Linked DNA regions of Daphnia pulex. The protein of the gene in region 3 interacts with the protein of the main gene of each other region in a biochemical or structural test. Links are inferred from orthologs where the notes say so. Each region holds a gene or a part of one and is shown on either strand. Other genes may lie near its edges.

Region 1 (3,475 bases), on a different chromosome or scaffold from region 3:
ATTGAAATTTAAACTCTTAACATGTTTAAAATAGCATCTACCTTCACATGCCTGCGAATATTGAATCTTGAGTAGTTCGAGCAAGAGATGTACTTCGGAGAACCGTTGGTATTGTATGAAGGTAAACAGCCCAGTAAGCATTTAAAGTGAGACATGTCTTTTCCTGTGACAGGTCCAATATATTCAAACATTGTGCTGGGAACTACAACTGGTTTTTTATTACTGACAGTGTCCGCCAAGGTATCATCTTCACTAAAAAAAATATGGTTACAATTAAATGAAGTCCCTGTCTACTGCAAATTGCCATAAAGATATAACTTACAGTGGGATGGATGTATCACTACTGGTACTTTTAGGCCTTCCATCATCATCCATATTTTCTGATTGGAGTTCATTGGCAGTTGCAATGCAAGTCCCATCCATTGTCCTTTTAACACTAAAATATACTTATGTTGGATTGATTCACCATAATATTATGTTAATTGTTTACCCTTTTTCTCTAGCTATCGTAAAAAAATTGAAACCATTTAGGCCTTGGCAGTTTGTTTACACTTTTCAAATGCCGTCTTGGTCTAGTGAGGAAAACGGATAAAACTTCAATGTCTGTCTGCTAGCTACTAATCGTTAACGAACTTACGAAACAATCAATCGAACAGATTTGACTTTTGACATAATGACCACGTTATAATCATATAATCTAGTAATTACTGAATTGAATAAAATCTGTGAATCTGTGGTAATGTTAATTTTAAAATTAATAAATGAAAATAATTTTAAAAAATAAATCAGAACCCTAGCGGTTCCGGTTAGGACTGCGATAGGGCCAATCTGCTTTGAATGTTGTGAAACTGTTGATAATTAAAAAATAAATTTGGGTTTAAGAATGGTTCATTGGTATGGAATATGATGCTGGGGAGTCCCATTTTAAAGGAAGATATTGACAGATGGAACAACTTTATCTGGGACAGGTTTCAATCAGAAACTTATTAGAAAAATTTAGGAAGGATTCCATTATAACTTAAAAGGAACTAATTGACTGGCAAATCCAATTCTAGTACATTTCTAAAAGAAATGCCAAGATAATTAAATACAAAAGAGACAGTATTGTATTCAATTTTTAAGTGAACAGTGGTACAATAAAATGGGTGTGTTATTTTAATGATCACTGTTCCATTTTAATGCCTTGTTTCTCCAGAGCAGCCCTATGAAATAAATAAAAAGATTTTATGGTTATGCCAAATTAAGTCATTAATAATTTCTACTAGTATTCAAACCTCAATTGCTGGCTGAAATCATCTTCAACGTTGTCATCATCCCAGTTGTCTTCCCAGACATTGACATCGTCAGCATCTTCTTCTTTGCCAGTCCAATCTACAATATTCAATGGGTACATGTAACTATGAACATATATTTTAAGTATAGGCAATTAAGTTTAAAGGCAATTTCAAGTTCGCTAGGTAGTAAGAAATGTTACCATCAGCCGGAAACTCTTCGAATTCATCGTCTTCCTCGAGCAGACCTAAATCTACTTTTGGCTTTTCGGTGGTGGAGTCAGTTTTTTCAATCTTCACATCTGCCATGACTGAACTATTATTAAGAGATAGATTTGATTTTTAACAACTAACAGTGATTCACTGAAGTTCTGCTTCTAACTTGACGGTTCTGAGTCTGACTTCAAGCTGACTGATCGTAACTTCTGACTTGGCGTTTTCAAAAAGGCGTCTGCTGGGTTTGTTACATAATATTAACCACAGATGGCGGTGAACATCAGAAAAACCAGTCGAACGTTGCCGCGAATTTTAAAGTAAGGAAGGAATATAAATATAAAATTTAGAAACTCTTATCTTCATTTGCGCAAATTCAATTTGAATTGTCATAAGAAGAACTTTAAATGGATAAGCTTATTTGTAACGTAGGTCACACATGCATATCGATGAGGATAAACGATTCTATACAGATTCTTTTGCTTTATTATAATGCCTAGTTGTGCACCATTTGATTGTTTACACACGATTAATTTTTTGTTTGGAACTAAAGGAAACCAACATTTATTTTTAGATATGACGTAAAATTTCTGTGAACCTGTTTCAAAAGCGACTAAGAAATGGCCTTGGAAAGGGACATTGAGGTGTTATCTCTGATTTTATAGCAGGTTCCTCTGCATCTGCATTTCATTGTATTGAGCAGGATCGACCTCCAAGTTCACGTACGTAACTAATTGAGACGACCCCTCTGGACTGACGACTCTAGAATTCCAGCCGTTATTACATAAAAGTAGAAGGGCATATATGGGATACCGATGTAAGGAAGGGTTGGTTATCTAACGCCATATAAGTCTGAATAAAACATTTTCTGATGTAATGCAGTTGACAACAGGAATAGCTGCTTAATGTAAGACCAATAACCTACATTTCGGCCTGTTAAAAGTTGGTTAGGCTGCTGTTGCTAACCGTCGACTTTTAACAATTGAGCTTCTTTTTTTTTCATTTTGGTTCGGCCCAAGCAACTGGATTGACCACACCGAATTTACATTTCTATCAAACTGTTTTATGTTATTCCCGAGGTAAGAGAAAAAAGTACGCAATTCTATATTAGAAAAATGGAAATCCAACGACATTAGTCCGCCATTTATGAATTTTCATTTGAACATCGGATGATAGGCCTTCGTCTTATAATCGACGGTTTAATACTAATCGACTGCTTGTAATCCCTTGTATGTACACTGATATGAACTTTGGAATAATAATTTTAAATTATTTATAAGCTGTTGTCTTTCTCATGAATTTATAGACACAGCTCTACGTGGAATTCAAAACTTTTCGATTGAAAAACCTTTCACGGTTTCCTCCGATTCGCCCGTTCCAGTTCCTTCTCAACTGTGTGTTTGCTGTTTGACATCATTTGTCATTGAAGTTGTTTTTTAAGTCCCCTTAACAAGGTCCTCTTTTCTTTATGGAACCGCGCTCTTACAAAAGCAAACTAATTGCAAACTCGCTACTTCCAACATTCACCGTTGTTTTCGTAGAAAACTGACAATTAAAATTCGGAATAATTTCGCTTTATAAGCCACCGGTTTCACTTTGAAGACGCGTTCAGGCGACTTATTCTATGAGAATTTCAATTCTGTCAATCGCTAAGAAAACATTGGTATTTTAAAATAACTTCACTCAGCAAGATTATAAATCGGTTATAATAGACTTTCACAAAAATACCTTAAACGGTAAAGACCTGGCGCGGGTGACTGATGCAACGGGAAAGCTTGGAAAAGCCCACAGGGACTACTATAGGTAATTTATTTGATACATTTAATTGCGTCGAACATCTACGTATTTCATTGAAATAGATTAATGAATTGAAATTTCGAAAATTAAAACGAGGACAGCCCAAAAACTTCTTTTTTTGGTAAACCAGGTATAGGTATAATAGATGACAATGTCTTTCTTCTATATGGGATATCAAACAAGTCCGCCAGCTC
Region 2 (3,553 bases), on a different chromosome or scaffold from region 3:
ACATAAAATATAAGTACAGTGCTCATTGAGTAGAATCAACCCCACTCTATTAGCCAAAGTAGATTCTCATCGTACGCAACCAAATAAATTACCGCCAAGTTTTTAAAATCCTATCAATCAAACAATACAAAAAATACGGTCTGTATTCGTTCCTGCGGCGAACGAAGATTAATTGAATTCCACGCCACATGTCTCACATAATAAGTTGCTCCTGCTGCGTGTGTCAACTGGATAATGCACCTTCTGCCTCCGTTCTATTTTTTTCTCATTCAAATGTGAATTGTACACTCGTTGCCAAAACAAATAATACATTAGATACACATTTGTATATGAATCACACGGCTAATACTTGAATCAATATGACACATGTTTCGTATCTTTTTTGACAATTTGACAATCGTGTGGCTTAGTGAGTTGTACTTTTTTCCTCTCTAGTTCTATATTGCATTATAGCATGGATGAAGTCAATACAGGAAACGAACAAGTTTTGACAAAGATTGATTGGCTTCCTCGTCTGACTGTTGTTCAACTACCGAAGGATCAGTGCAATGCTTAAAAAATATTTCTGTAAAGAAGAGGCATCATCTTGTATAATAAAATTTATCTTGTTGTAATAAAACCCCCAAACCGTCTCAAAGGTAAGGTTTTATTTCATACTAAAGCGCAATAATCTAGAACAAAATAATTTGTACAACAACGCATTAATAGCTATATGGAATTAATTAATAAAAATGGCAATAAATTCGACTCCTAAAATGAAAATGACGCTGTTGGAAATTTTTCGTTGGGTTAGCAACAAGTTTGACTACTAAAAAAAATTGCTCGAATTCCAGTGGAAGGTTTACAGAATCAAACCAAAATTTAACATTCATTCAAAAATATCTAATAAAATAGTCTTCTATAATTTCGGTTTGCTGTACTCCATAAGACACAACTTGTCAGTAAGCAAGAAATTTTCTTAAAATTCCCCTGGAATAGGATGCTATTGGTCGATTAATACTGGTGTGTCGCTCATTCAAAAGAACGAAGTCAGCAAACAGAAAAAAATCCGACGATGCGAAACTGTAACTGTAACAACACAAATTATTTACTACCTACAGATGTCGCAACAATGTTCCTTTTTTTATTACGACAGCATTATCAATTCGTACAGGGAAAACCAGCAGTCGTCCCGCCATTTAATAATTCAAGTCATCAACTCACCAAATTCGATTCTAGTTTGCTAACTGATTATTGGAGTAACTCGTTTCTATGCTGCGGTTGGCATTTACAATCTCAGCAAAAATTTTTATGGAGTGAGTGCTATGGACGTAGTGACGGCTGTAAACCTATTAATTCATGAAACATTAATATGATGTATGATTATCAAATTAAATTAAGGGACATCAACTGCACGCACACGTTGCTAATAATCATCCATAACGATTGCTAACTGTGTAATAATTGCTTAAGCAGCCAAAATGTAGTCGAAGAAGATCTCAATTTATATTTTTATTGAATCAAGCCATTGGATATCATCAGTCTTAATTTTAAATATTATCAATCCCAAATTACATATTGTGCAATTGTTTCAAGCAAAATATTCTTCAAAGCAGCAAAAAATTTAAAAAAAATCCTACAAATTTTATTAATATATTCCAATTTATTTAAAAAAAGTTTTTTAATTTAAAAAAATGTACTCATTTCATACGTGGCCGGCCGTTGTTAAAATAAGTTTTTAGTGCAGTGCCGGCATCCAGACGTATATAGCTGGTGCGGCAACGTTTATTCTCGGCGCTTTTTTGGCCCACGCCATTATTCATTATTCTTCAATAGAGTCGTCTCAAACGTGCTGCTAGTTTTAGAAAAAGAACTTGTTTTAACCATGGCTGATGTAAGCACGTAACTATCTATGTTACTTTTTAAGTATTGCTAAATTTACCCCATTCGTTTCTTTTTCCATAAAATTTGTTTTCACGTGTTGTCTTTGCTGGATAGTCGATTTTTTTTTAGTTCTGATCATGTGTTCGATATTTTAACTGTTTGCCTTTGCATTACCCTATACCAATTTGGCTAACTGTGGTTTCTATTTTTAATATACAGGATCAGAAACCTGATGCCGGTGATGCAGGATCAGAGTACATCAAATTGAAAGTTGTTGGCCAGGATTCAAATGAAATTCACTTTCGAGTAAAGATGACGACACAGATGGGCAAACTCAAGAAGTCTTATAGTGAAAGAGTGGTAAGGGTTTTTCCTGTCATTTTTTTTTTCACTTATTGATAAAGATTTTCTTTGTGTTCAGGGTGTGCCAGTTACTTCGCTGAGGTTTTTGTTTGATGGAAGGCGAATTAATGATGATGAAACCCCTAAACAGGTATGTTGTGTCTAATGCACTTAGCTGATGTGTTAAATGATATGCAAGTAATGAATTTCTGTACTGCTGTTCTAGTTGGAAATGGAGAATGATGATGTCATTGAGGTTTATCAGGAACAAACTGGTGGCAATTAATTTAAGAACCTCGATGCATTCATGGAAAACTTTCCACATTTTCTGGACAAAACTGTCTTTTAATTTCCAATGTTGTCATCAAAATATCGCCCTGCTTTCTGTTCTTCATTTCCAATCGAATAAATAAAACCATTTTCGTAACCGAGAATGATCCTTTCGTTAACTTATGGGCACTCTGCCACTTGTTTCTATCAACTTGTATTGCTATGAATATTGACATCAAAGTTCAAGGATGAAAGGTCTTGACTTCCATTTCTTGCTTTTGATCGCAAAGTGCGTACAAACCTTTTCGAGAGAGGATGCATTGCACAACGCTGTTGCTTGGTAAAAATAAATTGTCAATCAAGAATTTATAATATACTTTATTTTGTGTTGTTCAGTTGTACTAGTAGTAGGTGCAACAAGTTGTAAAATTCCCAAAAGTTATAAACCACTTTGTGGGGTTAACGGGATTTCCTACACGAATCTGAAGGCTTTACAGTGCCATAATAAGGCTAGCCCTGGAAACAGTAGGCTATTTGAAATATTCTTTTTTAGGAAATGGTTCCATCCGTGTTGAATTTGTTTGGTTTTCTCAGTGATTCGAATAGCTTATAAAGGACGCTGTCTTCGACCTGATATTCGTGAATGTAACTATTCTTCAGTCGTGAAAAATGTCTGCGGCAACGACGGGCTTACCTATCTGAATCCCGCAATGGTTGCATGCAAGAACAAATTACAGCCTAAAAAACGTATATTTTTATATCATACATAATTAAACGATGCACAGTTGATATTTTTATGACATTTTAGAGGTGAAGATTATTAGCAAGGGCAAATGTAAAAGTAAAACAAACGCTCGAAGAAGAAAAGTGCCAAATAAAACAGTGAGACCCGGAAACGTCACGGGACCAAAGCAGAAATAGGATTACTCCCCCAAAACCTCACTTCGTTCGTTATAACTTGTATCATGCCAAATTAGACTCTAAACTCTCAAAGTCAATATATGTCAATAAACATGACCAACTTCTGTTTAAAATAAACGGCTGGGTTCTGACAAGAGATCCGTGTTACTAATGTGTC
Region 3 (5,013 bases):
GCACTTTGACGTACGTTTCAAACTGAGCGGGAATTCACGAATAACTGCGTATTCATACAGCAAAATTAGGCAGATTCATTGGAATGGGTTTTTCCAAATTTTCGACATTGCGTAAGCAAGTGTGTCGGGTTCCCGATTTCGAAGTCCAGCGTCGTGTAGACTTTGATAAATCAGAAATGTCATCCAATATTCCCGCCAAGGTTTTATAAACAGAACATACTCCGAGTATACAAACAGATGATTCTCGATTCTTTCAAACAAGATAATATACCAACACCAATAAAATATACAAATATAAAATGTATAAAATATTACATTCAGTAACTTTAGATTAATCTCAAGCGCTCACACATTTTAAATTTAAATCAATTTTGTACAGAACGTTCTTTGATCCGATACTCACCAACCGCCCAGCGCTGCATTTTCGATAGCAGTTTGATCTTGTCGCACAATTCGCCGGCCTATTTTTAAAAACAAACGGCCCACAGCATTCTCCACTCTTTTCCTCAGTCGGTTAGAGATGGCCAATTTAAAGTGGCAGTTTTATTTTATTCTATTTCTTTTAAATATTTTAAAATGATGGGAAAATCCAAACATAAATACATGTTCGAAAATGATACTCACGAGTCTTTGATACTGTGGTTTGATATGAATTTTATCTTCCGTCGCCACTCGCCAGCGTTGTAAACATTTCGTCAAAACTGCGCACGTCGCACTTGAATGTCATGTCGAGGTTACAAGTGAAAAGTCAGCAAGTCTTGCCATTGATTTTCTAAAACAGACTGACCCCAATATGCTAGTTTAAGAAACAGTCGAGTTTGAATATTATCTGCGCGTCTACTATAAAATTTAATTCGTTCAAATACGACCGATTGCCGTTTTAAATCTGTTACGGGCTAATTCCTACAAGAAATAAGTCCTAAATTGAGAAAAAAAAATATTTGTATTCAAATTCAAGCAGTAATTGCCACTGATAATCTCAGAACAATGTTGAACAGAATGCGAACAGGGTAGATTGCGTAAGATATTTTAAAGTTACAAGTAAACCATACAGTTACATGTACACTGACGTTTTTTTTCGATTTCCCACCTACTTATAAACACAAGACAAATTCATATTTCTGGGGCGATGGTGAATCGAAACTTTTTAAACAACTAAAAACGGAGAATTCATAAAAGGGTTTACAAGAAAGGGGGTAATAACCTGTAGCGGAGGACGGTCCCTTCTGTGGCAGTTTACTCTTTGCTGTCTCCAATGCCATCGGGCAAAATTGCGAACATGGCTTCAGACTCTGGCAAGCAGGGTGAGTCGTAGATTTTGCAAATTCGGGTTTCTCCACGACCTTTGCGCAAGTAAAGTCTACAGAAAGGAAAGTTGTTACTGTCAGGGCAAAGGGATGCAAATAACAACAAGTGAAAACTTACCGAGTAGTAGACGCGTGAGCCATGATGTTTCCACCGATGGGTTTCTTTGGGTCAGCGGCGAACATTGCAGCACCATCGACTTGAGCAACTACTTGATTGGTTATAACCACTGCCACGCCAAACTTTAAAAACACATAAAAAACCAAATGTGATTTAAGAAAATTTGAATGGTTATTTACGACGTCTAGTATACACGTACTTCATCTGCAAGTCGAAGGAGCATGCGCAAAAAACGAGCGAGATGCATTTGGCGAGCGGAAAGTTCTCCTCTTCCCGAGTAGTCGGTCCTAGGAAGATAAAAGAATGTTTGCATGCCATACATGTCTTTGAAGAAAGAAAGATCCTTTTGAGGATTACCTGTAAAGAGCTGTGGCGGAATCGACAATGAGAAGAGCGTAACGAGAATCGGCCATCATGGCAGAGGCTTGGATCAGAAGCTGTGACTGGTGATCAGTATTGAAAGCTCTGGCGCAAGCTACATTATCCAAAACATCTGAGCCAGATAAGCCATATCGTTCAGCTACAGCCAACAAACGCTCCGGACGAAAGGTTCCTTCAGTGTCGATGTACAAGCACTTTCCTTCAGCTCCTCCACTGTCAATGGGCAACTAAAAAGTTAAAATGGATAAAAACTTATTAGAATTTGAATTGGTGAACTTCTGAAATATCTATTACTTGACAGGTGACTGCAAGAGTTAGGCACAATTGAGTTTTTCCAGTACGAAACTCTCCAAATATTTCTGTGATACTCCCTGTTTCTATGCCACCCCCAAGCAATTTGTCAAGCTCTTTGGATCCTGTAGTAACCTGAACGAGCTCTGCACGCTTTTGATGATACTCTGTGGCAGTAGAAAAACCCATGGGAACCATTTTTTGAGCTTCGGCCTGAGAGTTGTGAGGATGGAAACATTAACAAGAGCTAATGGATAATTACATGAAATATTTTTTTACAATGATTTTATCAGCCTTGGCCTCGCTGACTCCTTTGATGGTCATGAGTGTCTTTTTAGGGACATAGGCTACTGATTCAACTGTGTGATACCCCGCTTCTTGCAGTTTCTTGATATCTGCACCACTAATTCCATTGCCCTGGAAGTATTGAAAATTGAAATGAATTGTTATGTGTTTACTAATTAAACAATGAGTTTGCATTTATAAATTGAGTGTCTGTTGTTTCAACATTCTTACTTCAAGTTTACTGATTGCTGAAAAAACAGTTTGTTCGAGAGCTTCGACGACATTTTCTTCTTCTTCATTAAGATTTCGAAGTGCAGTAGCCATCGTACTGATTAATAGCTTATGATAAGCTAATGATTAAAGAAATCACTGTTGCAAAGCAGAATATGTCAATGAAAAACAATTGTGTGATTCAGCTTCTCGACTCAATTAATCAGTTTCGGAAGAGTTTCAGTTTCAATCAGTCTCAGCTATCAAAACGAAGTGATCACATGTGAAACGTTCACACAACGAAACATTCGAGCGGCAAAAACAAATAGTGCCTGTATTTAAAAATCAACCTTGCCAGATTTGTTTCAAATGAGCGTGCTAATGGACAAAAAGTTTTCCCATTTTTGTAATATCTGGTAATATATGGAAGAGGAATATACTTGATTAAAATTTTAAAATAAAAAATTATTTTATGTTTTATTATTTAACATGATTTAGTTTTATAATCTTTAAATCTAATTGGTGATTGCGGGGTTAAAATAAAGCGCTTACGTCAGAATCCCAGAGCAGAATACCTGGTAGGTCAGGCGGGAAACCTGATGGGAGAGCATCTACTTTTTCGCGGCTGAACTCTTGACGACTCGACTTTCGACTAATATTCGACTAATTCCCACATTACATATTCGTTTTTTAAATAAGTGAAATGCCCCCGAAGAAGAAACAAAAAAAAGATAATGGTTTCATGGTATTCATGAAATCTATGAAACCACAATTAGAAGCCAAGGGACATAAGTTTCCTAGAGGCTTGACTGACGTTATTCCGGTGTGCTCTCCGTTATGGAATGTAAGGAATTTGTGTTGTTAATACGTCATTCTGTTAACATTAATATTAATGAAAGTGAAACTTAATTAAATTCACAGAAATTGTCACCTGAAGAAAAGGCAAGCTACCATAAAAAAGCTAAAGATGGTGGTGGTACTACTTTTATCAAAGAAGAAAGATGTGATACTCGGGGAGTTCCATTAAATTGGAAGGAAAAAGAAGAGCAAAAGAAAATATCGGAAAAAGACCATCTTCTGCAGAAAGTAGAAGATATGATTTCATACTTTGCTACTCAAGGAAGTACGCTTTCATCCGAAAATGCCTTTTTCCCGTCACATTCAATATTTACAATTTCTAGCTCTCGAGAATCACTACTTTTATCTGGCACATTTCAACATTGCTGTCGCTACCAGTGAGGGAGAGTACCCTCCATGTGAAATCGCTATAGTGAAGTTTTCGCTTCTGGATGGGATAGCTAAGTGTTACCATGACTTTGTAGAACCTGGTATTTTCATCTACCAAATTTACTTGGGTATCAAGCTTTACACCATTGTTTTATGAATTCACAGGTCAAATCCGACTGGGGTATGCCCACGAAGCCAAGCTACACTCTGAAAACACACACAATATCCCAACATTTGGATTCAAACTAGCCAATTCAGATTATGTTAACATTACGAATAACATCAAGGAAATGCTCAAACAACCAGTAAACTTCCCTTTAATTAAGGAGTTTAGTAAATAATTTTATTAACAAAAATTTACATAATCCTAGGATGGCGGGATTGCTCCTTTATTCGTGGTCGACGAAGACAACGCGAAAGCGATTTATATAGTGGACTGGTTAGTCAAAAAGAGTTGCCAACTGGACGATTCGTACGAGACGTGCAGCCCGTTCAAGATCTACAGTTTGAACAAACTCTTTTACGAGTTGCGTCGCCAGGCCGACGTGAACAATTCGACGTTGAAATTTTCCAGCATTGCGCTAGTGGCCGAACACTTTGGCAAAGGAATGTTTTTCTACAGCAAAAATATGGCCTGCCAGGTATAAATTTCCAATGGCTAATAATAATCCCTTTGACCTAAAATAATTTGAATTACGTCATTGCACAGTGGCATGTGGAAGAAGACAATGTAACGTTTTGTTCGCTAACGCGGGTGCGCAACTACGCCTACACGATTTCCGACTTGTGCTGCGAGTACTATGACTTGTCTCTGCTGCCTAATCGCCACTGCCCTTCTGAAATTGCTGATGACAACAAATATGTCGTAATGCCCAAAGTGACTGAAACGGAAGAACCGGAGGTAATTTCATCCCATGAAAATTTGCATGAGAGTTGAAAGGAAAGGCTAATGTGTGATCTTTCCGGCCCTTTAGGCACCGGTTGAAGTGAAGAAGAAGAAGGAGGAGGAGGAAGATGACAGAGAACCATCCGGTCCACCACGATTGCCCAACACTCCTGCCAGTAAATCAATTTTTAATTGTTGTTGCATCTATAAATGGCCATGTTCAGAGATATTTCCTTTACCCGTTCACTCTAGCTGCCAATTTCAAGGGTCCTGGAACAGGGCGTGGCGTTTTGGGCGGATCGATGGGC
Region 4 (4,806 bases), on a different chromosome or scaffold from region 3:
ATTTTTAAATTGCTTGGCCAACTTGTCGCACTCCTTTTTGTGGATAGACCAGTGCAACTTTTGACAATCGCGGTTGCAATATTGCACAGATTTGCATATGGAACACTTGCTGGCTACCTTCTCTTGGCCGCAAGTGGCACAGGCGTCGTCATCTTGAAATCCACGCTGACCGTTGATGCAGGAAGTGAGAAGATTGAGAGCTAGTGGAGTCTCCTCTTTTGTCTTGGACAGATTGACCAGCAACTGGCGGAAGATGGTCGTCTCCTTGAAAGGGAAAGTGCGGATCGACTCGCGGATGAAGTTGTCCATAAACTCGGGAAAACCATCGGATTGACGTTGCTTCAAAAATGCTTTAACATATTGATTTAATAACTCCAAAACGGTTTTGTCGGGGTGCTGCTGCTGCTCTTTGGCCATTCTTTCGACTAGGAAACGCAAATAGTGGTATTTAAGTGCGAGGATCTCGTTGACTTCTTGGCTGCGCTTCATCTGATTTTCGCTAAGTATCTCCAAGACGTTTTTCACTTTTGTGAGGTTATCGTAAAGCAAAGGAAGTTTTTGAATAGTCAACAAAAGGTGAACTGGATGCAGATTGACCTGATAAATCAAACAAAACAAAAAGTTCAAGTGCTTTTCCGTGGCAGAATAAGAAATGAAGTGATGTGTCTATTCAAGTGCACAACCTGCATCACAAATTTGTGCAAAGCTGGTGCAGCAGCTGGTGGCAATTTTGGCTCAGTTTGATCGCTAGGAGCTACAGTGTACTGCTCTATTTCTGAGCGTGGAATGAAATTGTTGATGATGGAAACAACTGTGTGATTCCCTGGTTTGCCAAAATAATTCATTTTAGTTTTGGATGATTTGTACAAACATTATGATTGACTAGCCTACCTACAAATGCAGCCATTTGAGCTGCAGTTCTGCCTACTGAGTTAACCACATCAGGTTTACAACCACACTGAAGTAATTGTTGACAAATATCCAAATTTCCAGACAGAGCTGCAAAATGAAGGGAAGTATACTTGTGTTCATGATGACCTCCATTGGCATCAGCTCCCTTCGAGAAAAAAAGTCAACTTTTCAATCAAATTAACAACATTGATAATATAGTTAGACTTACCAGGTCAAGGAGCAACTGGCAAATATCTTTTTTCCCTTTAAAAGCGGCATGTTGCAGTAATGTCATTCCATGCTCATCCTCATCGTCAATTTCAACGTCCCGGGATTTTATAAGTTCTTGCAAACCACTAGTATCATTGTTGTTAATCTTGTCAATAGCTTTAATAAAGTTTTCCGAAATCATTTTTCGAGATTCTTTGGCAATTAACTCGTTTTTGAAGGAAATCAAATAATTCAGTCACAAATTTTCATATAACGATATAGTTTCCGTTGTCGTCTGCAACTGTTGCTATAACAACCGGACATTTCGAAAAACAAAAAATCCAACAACGCCAAAAATGCGAATAAAACGAAAACTTATTTTTGCTTCGTATGAACCTTTATTTCAGAAAAAAAACTTTTTCATTATTTTTCTTCTTTATATTTTTAGTGGTCTTCATTGAGTTAAAAAGTTTCTTAAACATTCAACGCTGCACGTTCAGCCTTGGTTTCGTTTGTACCACTGTTGTTTTCCCGCCATCGCACTTCGTCGTCTTGTCCGTAAAAACTGCTTAAAAAAATTCAAGCACGTTGACTGAACGAAGTAATCCCCGTTAAAAAAGGTTCCGTAAAATGAACAGAAGAAATCACCCAGCACTAACCAGCGGCGCAATTCCGGTAATATCAATCATAATTTCGAATTTTTGAATAAAACTATAAATATCTTTATTTCGACATAGTCCATCATTGGGAATGGCCTGCACAATGAAACTCCAATTCTACAAGTTTTGGTAAGCAACGAGCAAGATTTTTTCTTCATTTGCAGCATTTTTACATTTTCTTCTCTTACAATAGGGTTACAAAAATCTTCAGGGAGACAATAATGACCGTTACAGAATTCTCATCTCTGATGGAAAGTATTCCTATGCATATGGAATGTTGGCAACACAACTAAATCATCTGATTGTGGATGGTCAGCTTGAGAACTTTACCATCATTAGAGTAAAAAAGTTTGTTGTTAACAAAGTTGCTACTAAGGCAACTGCAGGCAAGGACCAAAAGAAAATTATCATTCTTTTGGATGTTGAGCCAATTGTGCCTGGAAGTGAAGTATGTTCACTTTACTTAGTTTCGAAATACAAATAAGGATATCTCTTCATTTTGAACATTTTTTGTTTAGGTTGGAGAAAAAATAGGAAACCCTCAGACTCTTAATGATGTTGGAGAGGTTACTGAAGAGGCAGCAGCAAAACCTGCACCTTTAGGAAATGTGAACAATTACAATATGGGATCGAAGTCTGCACCACCTAACAAAACTGGTGGATATGGACAGCCAACAGAGAAGTCTGACATTATTACCCATCCGATTGTAAGCCTTACACCCTACCAAAACAAGTATGTTTGTTGAGAAATTTCAGTACAAGAAAAATTGAATCATTAACTTTGCTTGTTTGTAGGTGGACTGTAAAAGTGAGAATTATAAACAAGTCCGATATCCGTACGTGGAGCAATTCTCGAGGTGAAGGAAAGCTTTTCTCGATGGACATGGTGGATGAGACTGGTGAAATCCGTGCCACTGCATTCAATGCCGAGTGTGACAAGTTTTACCACATGATTGAGGTACATTTAATTCAAAAACAGTGTTTGAAGTTATTTATTTACATTGTTATTTTTCGTTGTAGATCGGCAAGATCTTTTACATTTCACAAGCACAACTGAAGGCAGCAAACAAACAGTACAGCAGTATGAGGAACGATTATGAAATGTCGTTCAACCAAAATACTACAGTATGAATGTTTTTCAATCGTCAATCGTACCAGCCTCAATTTTTTTTTCTTTTACTTATTTTTTAGGTAATTCCTTGCCACGATGATACATCAGATATCCCATCAATCTCCTTCAACTTTGTTCCCATTGATCAGCTACCTAGCCTGGACAAGGACAGTGTTATTGGTAAGTTGTCTTTTAGGTGCATTAACATTACAATTCTTCTATTTGAATGGTGCCTACGATATGACCGATTGACCGTGCTTTCAGATGTCATTGGTGTGGTTAAGTCAGCAAATGACGTCCGCGTTATCGTTTCCAAAACGACAAATAAAGAATTGAGGATGCGAGAAGTTCAGATGGTGGACAGTACCAACACAGAGGTATGACTGGATTCTTCGTTTAATTGTCGAGCCCAGTTAATTAATCATTCTTGTCTTCAAACATCAGGTTAATTTGACTTTATGGGGAAAAATGGGCGAGGAATTTGACGCTAGCTCCCAGCCTGTTGTAGCATTAAAAGGAGTGAAACTTTCTGATTTTGGAGGTCGTTCTCTAGGAACAGTCTCGTCTACTGTCGTGCAGGTAAAATCAAATGTAAGACTTTCTATTTCTCTACTATTCTACAGCGCATATTTTTAATAGATCAATCCTGACATGAATGAAGCTCACAAACTAAGAGGGTGGTACGATAACGGTGGCTCATCATCGGCCGCTTCTAGCATTTCGGCGAGTCGTGGCGCTGGCACTGGTGGTAGTGGTGGGTCGTATAAGACTTTCGCTGAAGCAAAATTCGAAAACCTGGGAAAAGATAAACCTGATTTCTACAGTGTTAAGGCTATGGTTGCTATGATCAACAAAGAAAGAGCGTTGTACATGGCTTGTCCCAGTGATGAATGCAACAAAAAGGTAAACATAAATATATAATAAAACAACTCATTTTTGACAATATTTGCGTTTCCCGCAGGTCATCGATCAAAACAATGGCCTCTATCGATGTGAGAAATGCCAGCGCGAATTCCAGGAATTCAAATGGCGCATGATGCTTTCGGTATGACAAAGATATTTTATGAAATCTATTTCTCTCAAAACAGCACTCGAAATTTGTTATAGGTCAATATCGCGGATGCCACGGACCAGCAATGGGTAACCTGCTTCCAAGAAACCGCTGAAACTCTTCTTGGTAATTTTGTTTTCGAACTAATGTTACGTTTAGCATATAATATTTATTTATTTGATTATAAATTTTAGGGAAATCCGCAGACGAGGTCGGTAGATTGAAGGATTCGGATAATAACGAATTTCAGAAAATTTTCGAAGAAGCTACTTTTAAGTGGTATGTCTTCCGCCTGAGAGTGAAAATGGAGACGTACAATGTAAGTCTATGAGCATTATGAATTTCGATCTTGTTATCTGTTGACGCTTTTACCTTTTCTTTAGGATGAAAGCCGCCTCAAAACAAATGTCTATGAAGTGAAGGAAATCAACTATAAAGAGCACAACGAGCGATTGATTCGAGAAATGAAAGAAATGGCTGCATCAGAATGAATGGATTTTCCCTTGCTCCTTATCTATTAAACTTATAAAAAACCTTCATTTTCGGATTATACAGGAACAATTCTTTATGAATTCCTGTTCTTGTGAATCAAATCGAGATCCCGGAAAAACCGTGTGTGTAACATGATAATAAATGATTTGCAAAATAAACATGGATATTACAAAAAATAATTTTTCAGACAACTGCAAATGTATTGTTTTTCGCAGCTCATGTGCAATGAAATATTTCAACCATCAAGAGAGGCAAAGATAGAAATGAAAATAAATGAAGATCACAGTGCAGCTCTCACTGCTCTACAATGAAGTGAAGAGGGAAAGAGGGGGGACCAGTTCAAAATTTTAACTCTGCCTCTTCTCAAGTGTTTATGATGAAAACAGAAAACA
Region 5 (5,001 bases), on a different chromosome or scaffold from region 3:
CAATTTCATGGTGATTGTGATTGAATCTTGAAAATAATAATTGAAAAAAAACTATTAGCACATAAGAAATAAAGGTACAACAAATCTATGGGTCTACCTTGGTGCACAGGTACTGCTGTGAATATCTAATTGAATCGACCGTCAAGATATTTGGGTTTTATAGTCGTCCGCACATGATGCTTTGCTAAGAGCTAGAGGCGGGGTTATTTCAAATTTTATAGAAGATCGATTAACGAAACATGGTTTAGAGGTAAAGAATCTTGTTTGCCACCAACCTTTGACTTTGAAACGGATCAAGTATTCGACTCCAAATCACGGAGACTAATCTTGCGGGTTTTTTTGTTTTTAGAATTATCTCTCAAAAATGGATGCCGTTCTGTGGCCATCACCGGCCATCACGTTTTCGTGCACGTATTTTACATTTTGTGCAGCTATTATATTGATATTATCGCAAAGAGCGTAAGCCTAGAAATTTGAAATCTCGTAGACTCAATCAACTTATTTGTTTAGTAGACGAAGGTCAAAGAGTGAACGGCTCACCTCGATTGCGTCAATTGTGATGGCTCGTACGATGTGACGTCCACCATCTGTCAACCGAGTTCACTTACTATAATCTAGGCTAAATATCAAACTGTAAAGATCGAGTAACAAGGTACACAAATGGCTCCATTTTGAAGGCCTTGTACATATCGGCTCCCGTTACTACCGCATACGTCAATATTCACAATACGTTTAAAACAACAATACCTCTGAGAAGATAATGCTGAAGTAACATATTGCGTTTCTATTAGCTTTATGGATAACGACGTATCCTGGCACTATTATTTATGGGAGGTGTCGTTGGTACTTAAAAAAACAAATCATTCAAGCTGATTTCAGCGAAAGAGGAAATCACTAACGTGTGGATGAGAATGCCTTTTCATCTACTGCATTATTAAGTTTGTTGACCTTCCATACAAGAGTGCAACTCGTCCAATCTATGAAGTAATGCCCAGTCCAAAATCATTAAAAATAAACTTTGTAGTGTGGGAAATAAAATCAACCTTGCATGGAACTTTGCCGCCTTATTGTGATAAGTGTTACTTATTAAACCATCAAATAAGCTTGAAAGCTTACGACCAAATATTACGAAACAAGTGCCCTTGTGGCTAACCCAAGTGCCATCTACGCTGATATAATGGAATGGAAATTAGATCCTTAATTGGTCAGCTAGGTCTTTATCTAAGCCATATCAATCATATTAAACGTTACCCATCGCATCATCACGTGATTGTATCTAGTGTCTAGTTTGTCAGTTGGTTCAGTTTTTTCCGCTTCTGTAACTCTCCTGAATAAACAAAATGAAATAATGCATTTGTATGAACCTTTCTCTTTAATAATGCTGCCCAGCTGGGGAAAAAAGACGTTTGGAGAAGAATATTCAAAAATAAACTCTCTAAAAACCGACACAATCAGTTTCACTTTTTTGGGCTTTTATTTTTATTCGAGTTTATTTTTTTTATCTCATGAATCTATTTCAGTATTTCTATACTAATTGAATCAAAATGAAATTAGCTTTGATTGATTAATTAACTGGTTTTTTCTTGTTTGAGTTGGATATTTAAAAAAAACTTCATATTTTGGACGCTAGATGGACGCTAGATTGTGCTATTGTTTTGGTTGAAAAACGTAAATACAACGCACCGGACGCGTTTACGAGTCCGTCTACACGTTGAAATTGTAACTCTGGTTGTAGTTCTGTACAAAATAGTATTTTCGAATTTTGAAATGAATAATCTTCCTGTTCAAGTGCTTGAAAATATTTTGGCCCACATACCTGTTATAGATCTTCATAAGTCATGTGTGCTTGTGTGCCAAAATTGGAGGGAAATCATTTGTCGACAGAAGGTAGGGTAGTATATGGCCGATATGGCATTCATTTTTGTTTGAAACCACTCTTTAAACAATAGAACATTGACATACTTTTGTTCTCCTATTTCAGTTTATACCTTGGAAAAAACTTTATCTTTCATACAGCTTGAATGTTGAGGAATCTACTGCTTTCCTGGACCAACTCTGTGATTCATACAACATTACGGGAGTGCAAAACTGTCTCCGTGGTTTGATTTTGTAAGACATATTTACCAAAAGTTTTATATTGTTAAGTATAAATAACTCTGTTTTAGCTATTTTTTGGAGTTCACTGGGTCTCCTGTGAATACCATGAGGTATTTGAAAAGTCATACCCGCTTCAGTTTAGCTGAAAGATTAGTGGTTGAGCAGTATAAAACTACTTCACTCTGGGGGATTACTGCTATGATTTGCATCTTCTCAAATGATACATGGGAAATGTATAGATTGTTTGATTTATTGACGCATTCTGAAAGTGATTTCACGACAATGGTAAATTCAATCTTCCATCATTAATTTAACCTGTTTTGCCTCCTCTAACACATATTCCTTGCATATAGGAGGTAATGGAGAAATTTTACTGTTTATGCACTTTGTTTCTCTACTTCCACAGAAAGTTTGGAATTCCAGCTAAGTATGCATTCTTTAATGTGTATTTGTGCTTTGTTCTTATAATCACAAGTTATTTTACTTATCTCAAAGGTTGCATTATAATTTGATATATGCCCTCAACTTGTTTGAGAATCGCTGGACGGGTGCCCCTATTAGTCAAGTGTCAAACCAGTCATCAAGCCAGCAAAAGTCTTCACCTCCTCCATTGACACACGAACAATCGCGTATTGTAAATCATCGCATCCAAAAAGATGATGTAAATTGCTTAAATTAATTATAGAGATTTTCTAAAAATTAAAACTTTGAATTTCTTTTCATGTTTGTTTTAGTTAATCAAGATCGTGGCGTTTGCTGGAAGCGGGAAAACTACTACTTTGCTACGTTTTACCGAAAATAATCCAGAAACCGAATTTCTGCTTATTGTGTTCAATAGAGCAGTGTCCGATGAAGCCGGCGGAAAATTTCCGAAAAACGTAAAATGCACGACGATTCATAAGTTGGCTCGTAACCACATCATTGCTACTGGCTTGATGAAGAATAAAGAAACGGGTAACATTTTCCCAACGAGTTTAGTTAAAAGCCATATACTTGAAAAGGATCGGCGAGGACTAAAAAGATATCAACGAGAGAAACTGGTTCTTGACACCCTTAATCGGTTTTGGGGTTCGGCTGATGATACAATAACTCCTGAACATGCTCCCACCAAAATCAGAAGCAAATCGTCATCTGAAGATAATGCCACAGGAGAAAATGTTGTTGAAGACAGAATTCTGACCCTCGATGAACGACAGGTGAGATTCAGCTAATTAATCTCTGTTTATTGCTTCTCTAAAAAACACCTGTTATTCCATTAATTGCCTCTTTTTAGAAATTAGCGGCCGACGCCCAAAAAGTCTGGTCTGTCATTAAGAATCCAAACGATAGGCGTCTGAAATTGCCGTGTGATGCATTCCTCAAACTTTGGCAGTTGGAAAAACCGAATTTATTCGAAACTGAAAAAGTTCACTGTGTGATGGTGGATGAAGGCCAAGATTTGAACGGAGCCATGCTCGATATATTTCTCAGCAACATAGGCAAACGCATTATCGTCGGAGATCCACATCAGCAGATCTATCGTTGGCGTAAGAATAGCATAAACTCAACGTTTATTTATTTGAGGTTGCCTAATAAGTTTCTTTCTTCAATCCAGGATATGCCGTGAATGCACTGAATAAAGTCCCTGCTACCCACACGTTTTACTTGACTCAAGTAACTTCATGAAACAAATCTCTATAGCTATATTGTCTAACTTTTTTCTTCTTCTTAGTCATTCCGATTTGGACCAGAAATTGGTTTCATGGCCAACTCCTGTCTATCCGTCTTGAATAATGTCAATGATAAATGCTTGGTAGGCATTGATGTGCACGATGCACTGGTATCGCTCAGCGATGCCAATGATCAACTAAACCACCAACTGCAAACTAACGGCAAGATTTGCTACCTGGCTAGGACCAACCTGGCACTTTTCAAGAAAGTCGTGGAAGTTATTGGTTGTGAATTTGGTAGCAGTTCCCAGAAGCCTAAAATCGCTTTTGCCGGAGTAACATCAACTTATTTTCAAGTTTGTGAGATGTAAATAATGAAAGAAAATTTCATTTTTTAGGGAATTAAGAACATGGGATTGGACCTTATAATGGACGTTTATTATCTTTGGAGAGGAGGTAGTTTCAATCTTAAAAATGCTAAATTATGCTGAATGAATATCAAACTTATTTTTTGCAGCCTACGACAAAATTACCAGTCCCTTTCTACGTAATCGGAAGTTATTTGAAAACTTCACCAGTTTCACCAAATACGTAGAAGCCACGATGGACCACGAGTGGGGAGCGAGAATAGCTCAAGTGACCTGGGCGAAAAGTAAAACGGAGACGTATGTCGATGCGATTCGAAAATCTCATGTCTACATTTCCGATGCAGGTATGGAACACGTGAGCTTCCATTAATTGACGTCTTAACAAATGATTATTACTTTTTTTTTCAGATGTCGTTTTCTCTACCGCTCACAAATCCAAGGGAATGGAGTGGGATACGGTCGTTTTGCTAGACGACTTCATTCCAACTCTTGCTTATGGTGAAGTAAGCGGCGAAGAGCAGGAAGAGCGGAACTTGCTGTACGTGGCTGTCACGCGGGCAAAACGGAAACTGATAATCAATCCAGCCTGCTACTACACTCTCTTGGCAGTTGGTGATCGTCGAGAGAAAATAGTCGATTCGGCCACTTACCTCGACGCTCATGGCCCGATTGCCATTTGTTTTCGCTGCCAAGAAGTTCTGCCAGGGCAGTGCAAAACTAAATCTGCATCGCTCGTTACAACTCCACTCAAGATAATGACCTTAAATAATGAACCAACTGTTGGAAATCGAAAGGAGGGCATCCTCTGTTCCCTATGTGCCGGACTAAATTATTACGCTTACCAAAAGTAAATTTATTCACAAATTTATTCATTATGTGGAAGTTTT

What was found.
Region 1: the proteins of DNA repair protein RAD51 homolog A-like (region 3) and 26S proteasome complex subunit SEM1-like form a complex in vitro, tested with the Homo sapiens proteins (2 studies listed by BioGRID). The link is inferred for Daphnia pulex from reciprocal best matches to the Homo sapiens genes RAD51 and SEM1.
Region 2: the proteins of DNA repair protein RAD51 homolog A-like (region 3) and small ubiquitin-related modifier-like form a complex in vitro, tested with the Homo sapiens proteins (2 studies listed by BioGRID and IntAct). The link is inferred for Daphnia pulex from reciprocal best matches to the Homo sapiens genes RAD51 and SUMO1.
Region 4: the proteins of DNA repair protein RAD51 homolog A-like (region 3) and replication protein A 70 kDa DNA-binding subunit-like form a complex in vitro, tested with the Homo sapiens proteins (2 studies listed by BioGRID). The link is inferred for Daphnia pulex from reciprocal best matches to the Homo sapiens genes RAD51 and RPA1.
Region 5: the proteins of DNA repair protein RAD51 homolog A-like (region 3) and F-box DNA helicase 1-like form a complex in vitro, tested with the Homo sapiens proteins (2 studies listed by BioGRID, with this or other methods). The link is inferred for Daphnia pulex from reciprocal best matches to the Homo sapiens genes RAD51 and FBH1.

The regions. Positions count from the first base shown.
Region 1 is NC_060028.1:1,555,874-1,559,348, forward strand, and holds 26S proteasome complex subunit SEM1-like, read right to left. Parts: upstream 1,694-3,475; 5' UTR 1,581-1,693; coding exon 1,475-1,580; intron 1,372-1,474; coding exon 1,275-1,371; intron 1,203-1,274; coding exon 1,163-1,202; 3' UTR 1,084-1,162; downstream 1-1,083. Other genes in the region: uncharacterized protein LOC124209262, read right to left, coding at 42-252, 323-423. UniProt on the Homo sapiens protein: Component of the 26S proteasome, a multiprotein complex involved in the ATP-dependent degradation of ubiquitinated proteins.
Region 2 is NC_060017.1:276,534-280,086, reverse strand, and holds small ubiquitin-related modifier-like, read left to right. Parts: upstream 1-1,711; 5' UTR 1,712-1,864; coding exon 1,865-1,873; intron 1,874-2,082; coding exon 2,083-2,223; intron 2,224-2,284; coding exon 2,285-2,356; intron 2,357-2,431; coding exon 2,432-2,491; 3' UTR 2,492-2,639; downstream 2,640-3,553. Other genes in the region: serine protease inhibitor dipetalogastin-like, read left to right, coding at 2,791-2,815, 2,872-3,000, 3,070-3,222, 3,284-3,396. UniProt on the Homo sapiens protein: Ubiquitin-like protein that can be covalently attached to proteins as a monomer or a lysine-linked polymer.
Region 3 is NC_060026.1:14,857,525-14,862,537, reverse strand, and holds DNA repair protein RAD51 homolog A-like, read right to left. Parts: upstream 3,223-5,013; 5' UTR 2,707-3,222; coding exon 2,614-2,706; intron 2,515-2,613; coding exon 2,377-2,514; intron 2,311-2,376; coding exon 2,101-2,310; intron 2,034-2,100; coding exon 1,783-2,033; intron 1,713-1,782; coding exon 1,625-1,712; intron 1,548-1,624; coding exon 1,426-1,547; intron 1,361-1,425; coding exon 1,237-1,360; 3' UTR 925-1,236; downstream 1-924. Other genes in the region: protein maelstrom homolog, read left to right, coding at 3,296-3,436, 3,514-3,715, 3,774-3,920, 3,985-4,124, 4,191-4,460, 4,529-4,720, 4,794-4,881, 4,958-5,013.
Region 4 is NC_060017.1:3,019,207-3,024,012, reverse strand, and holds replication protein A 70 kDa DNA-binding subunit-like, read left to right. Parts: upstream 1-1,607; 5' UTR 1,608-1,731; coding exon 1,732-1,776; intron 1,777-1,838; coding exon 1,839-1,889; intron 1,890-1,953; coding exon 1,954-2,208; intron 2,209-2,278; coding exon 2,279-2,493; intron 2,494-2,555; coding exon 2,556-2,718; intron 2,719-2,780; coding exon 2,781-2,885; intron 2,886-2,951; coding exon 2,952-3,051; intron 3,052-3,135; coding exon 3,136-3,248; intron 3,249-3,315; coding exon 3,316-3,450; intron 3,451-3,510; coding exon 3,511-3,774; intron 3,775-3,832; coding exon 3,833-3,916; intron 3,917-3,978; coding exon 3,979-4,048; intron 4,049-4,116; coding exon 4,117-4,241; intron 4,242-4,305; coding exon 4,306-4,413; 3' UTR 4,414-4,593; downstream 4,594-4,806. Other genes in the region: ankyrin repeat and MYND domain-containing protein 2-like, read right to left, coding at 1-597, 684-823, 892-1,057, 1,121-1,303. UniProt on the Homo sapiens protein: As part of the heterotrimeric replication protein A complex (RPA/RP-A), binds and stabilizes single-stranded DNA intermediates that form during DNA replication or upon DNA stress.
Region 5 is NC_060017.1:4,720,008-4,725,008, reverse strand, and holds the start of F-box DNA helicase 1-like, read left to right. Parts: upstream 1-1,655; 5' UTR 1,656-1,767; coding exon 1,768-1,887; intron 1,888-1,981; coding exon 1,982-2,109; intron 2,110-2,165; coding exon 2,166-2,382; intron 2,383-2,450; coding exon 2,451-2,524; intron 2,525-2,592; coding exon 2,593-2,758; intron 2,759-2,831; coding exon 2,832-3,293; intron 3,294-3,370; coding exon 3,371-3,623; intron 3,624-3,691; coding exon 3,692-3,750; intron 3,751-3,808; coding exon 3,809-4,081; intron 4,082-4,144; coding exon 4,145-4,202; intron 4,203-4,263; coding exon 4,264-4,458; intron 4,459-4,522; coding exon 4,523-4,961; intron 4,962-5,001. UniProt on the Homo sapiens protein: 3'-5' DNA helicase and substrate-recognition component of the SCF(FBH1) E3 ubiquitin ligase complex that plays a key role in response to stalled/damaged replication forks.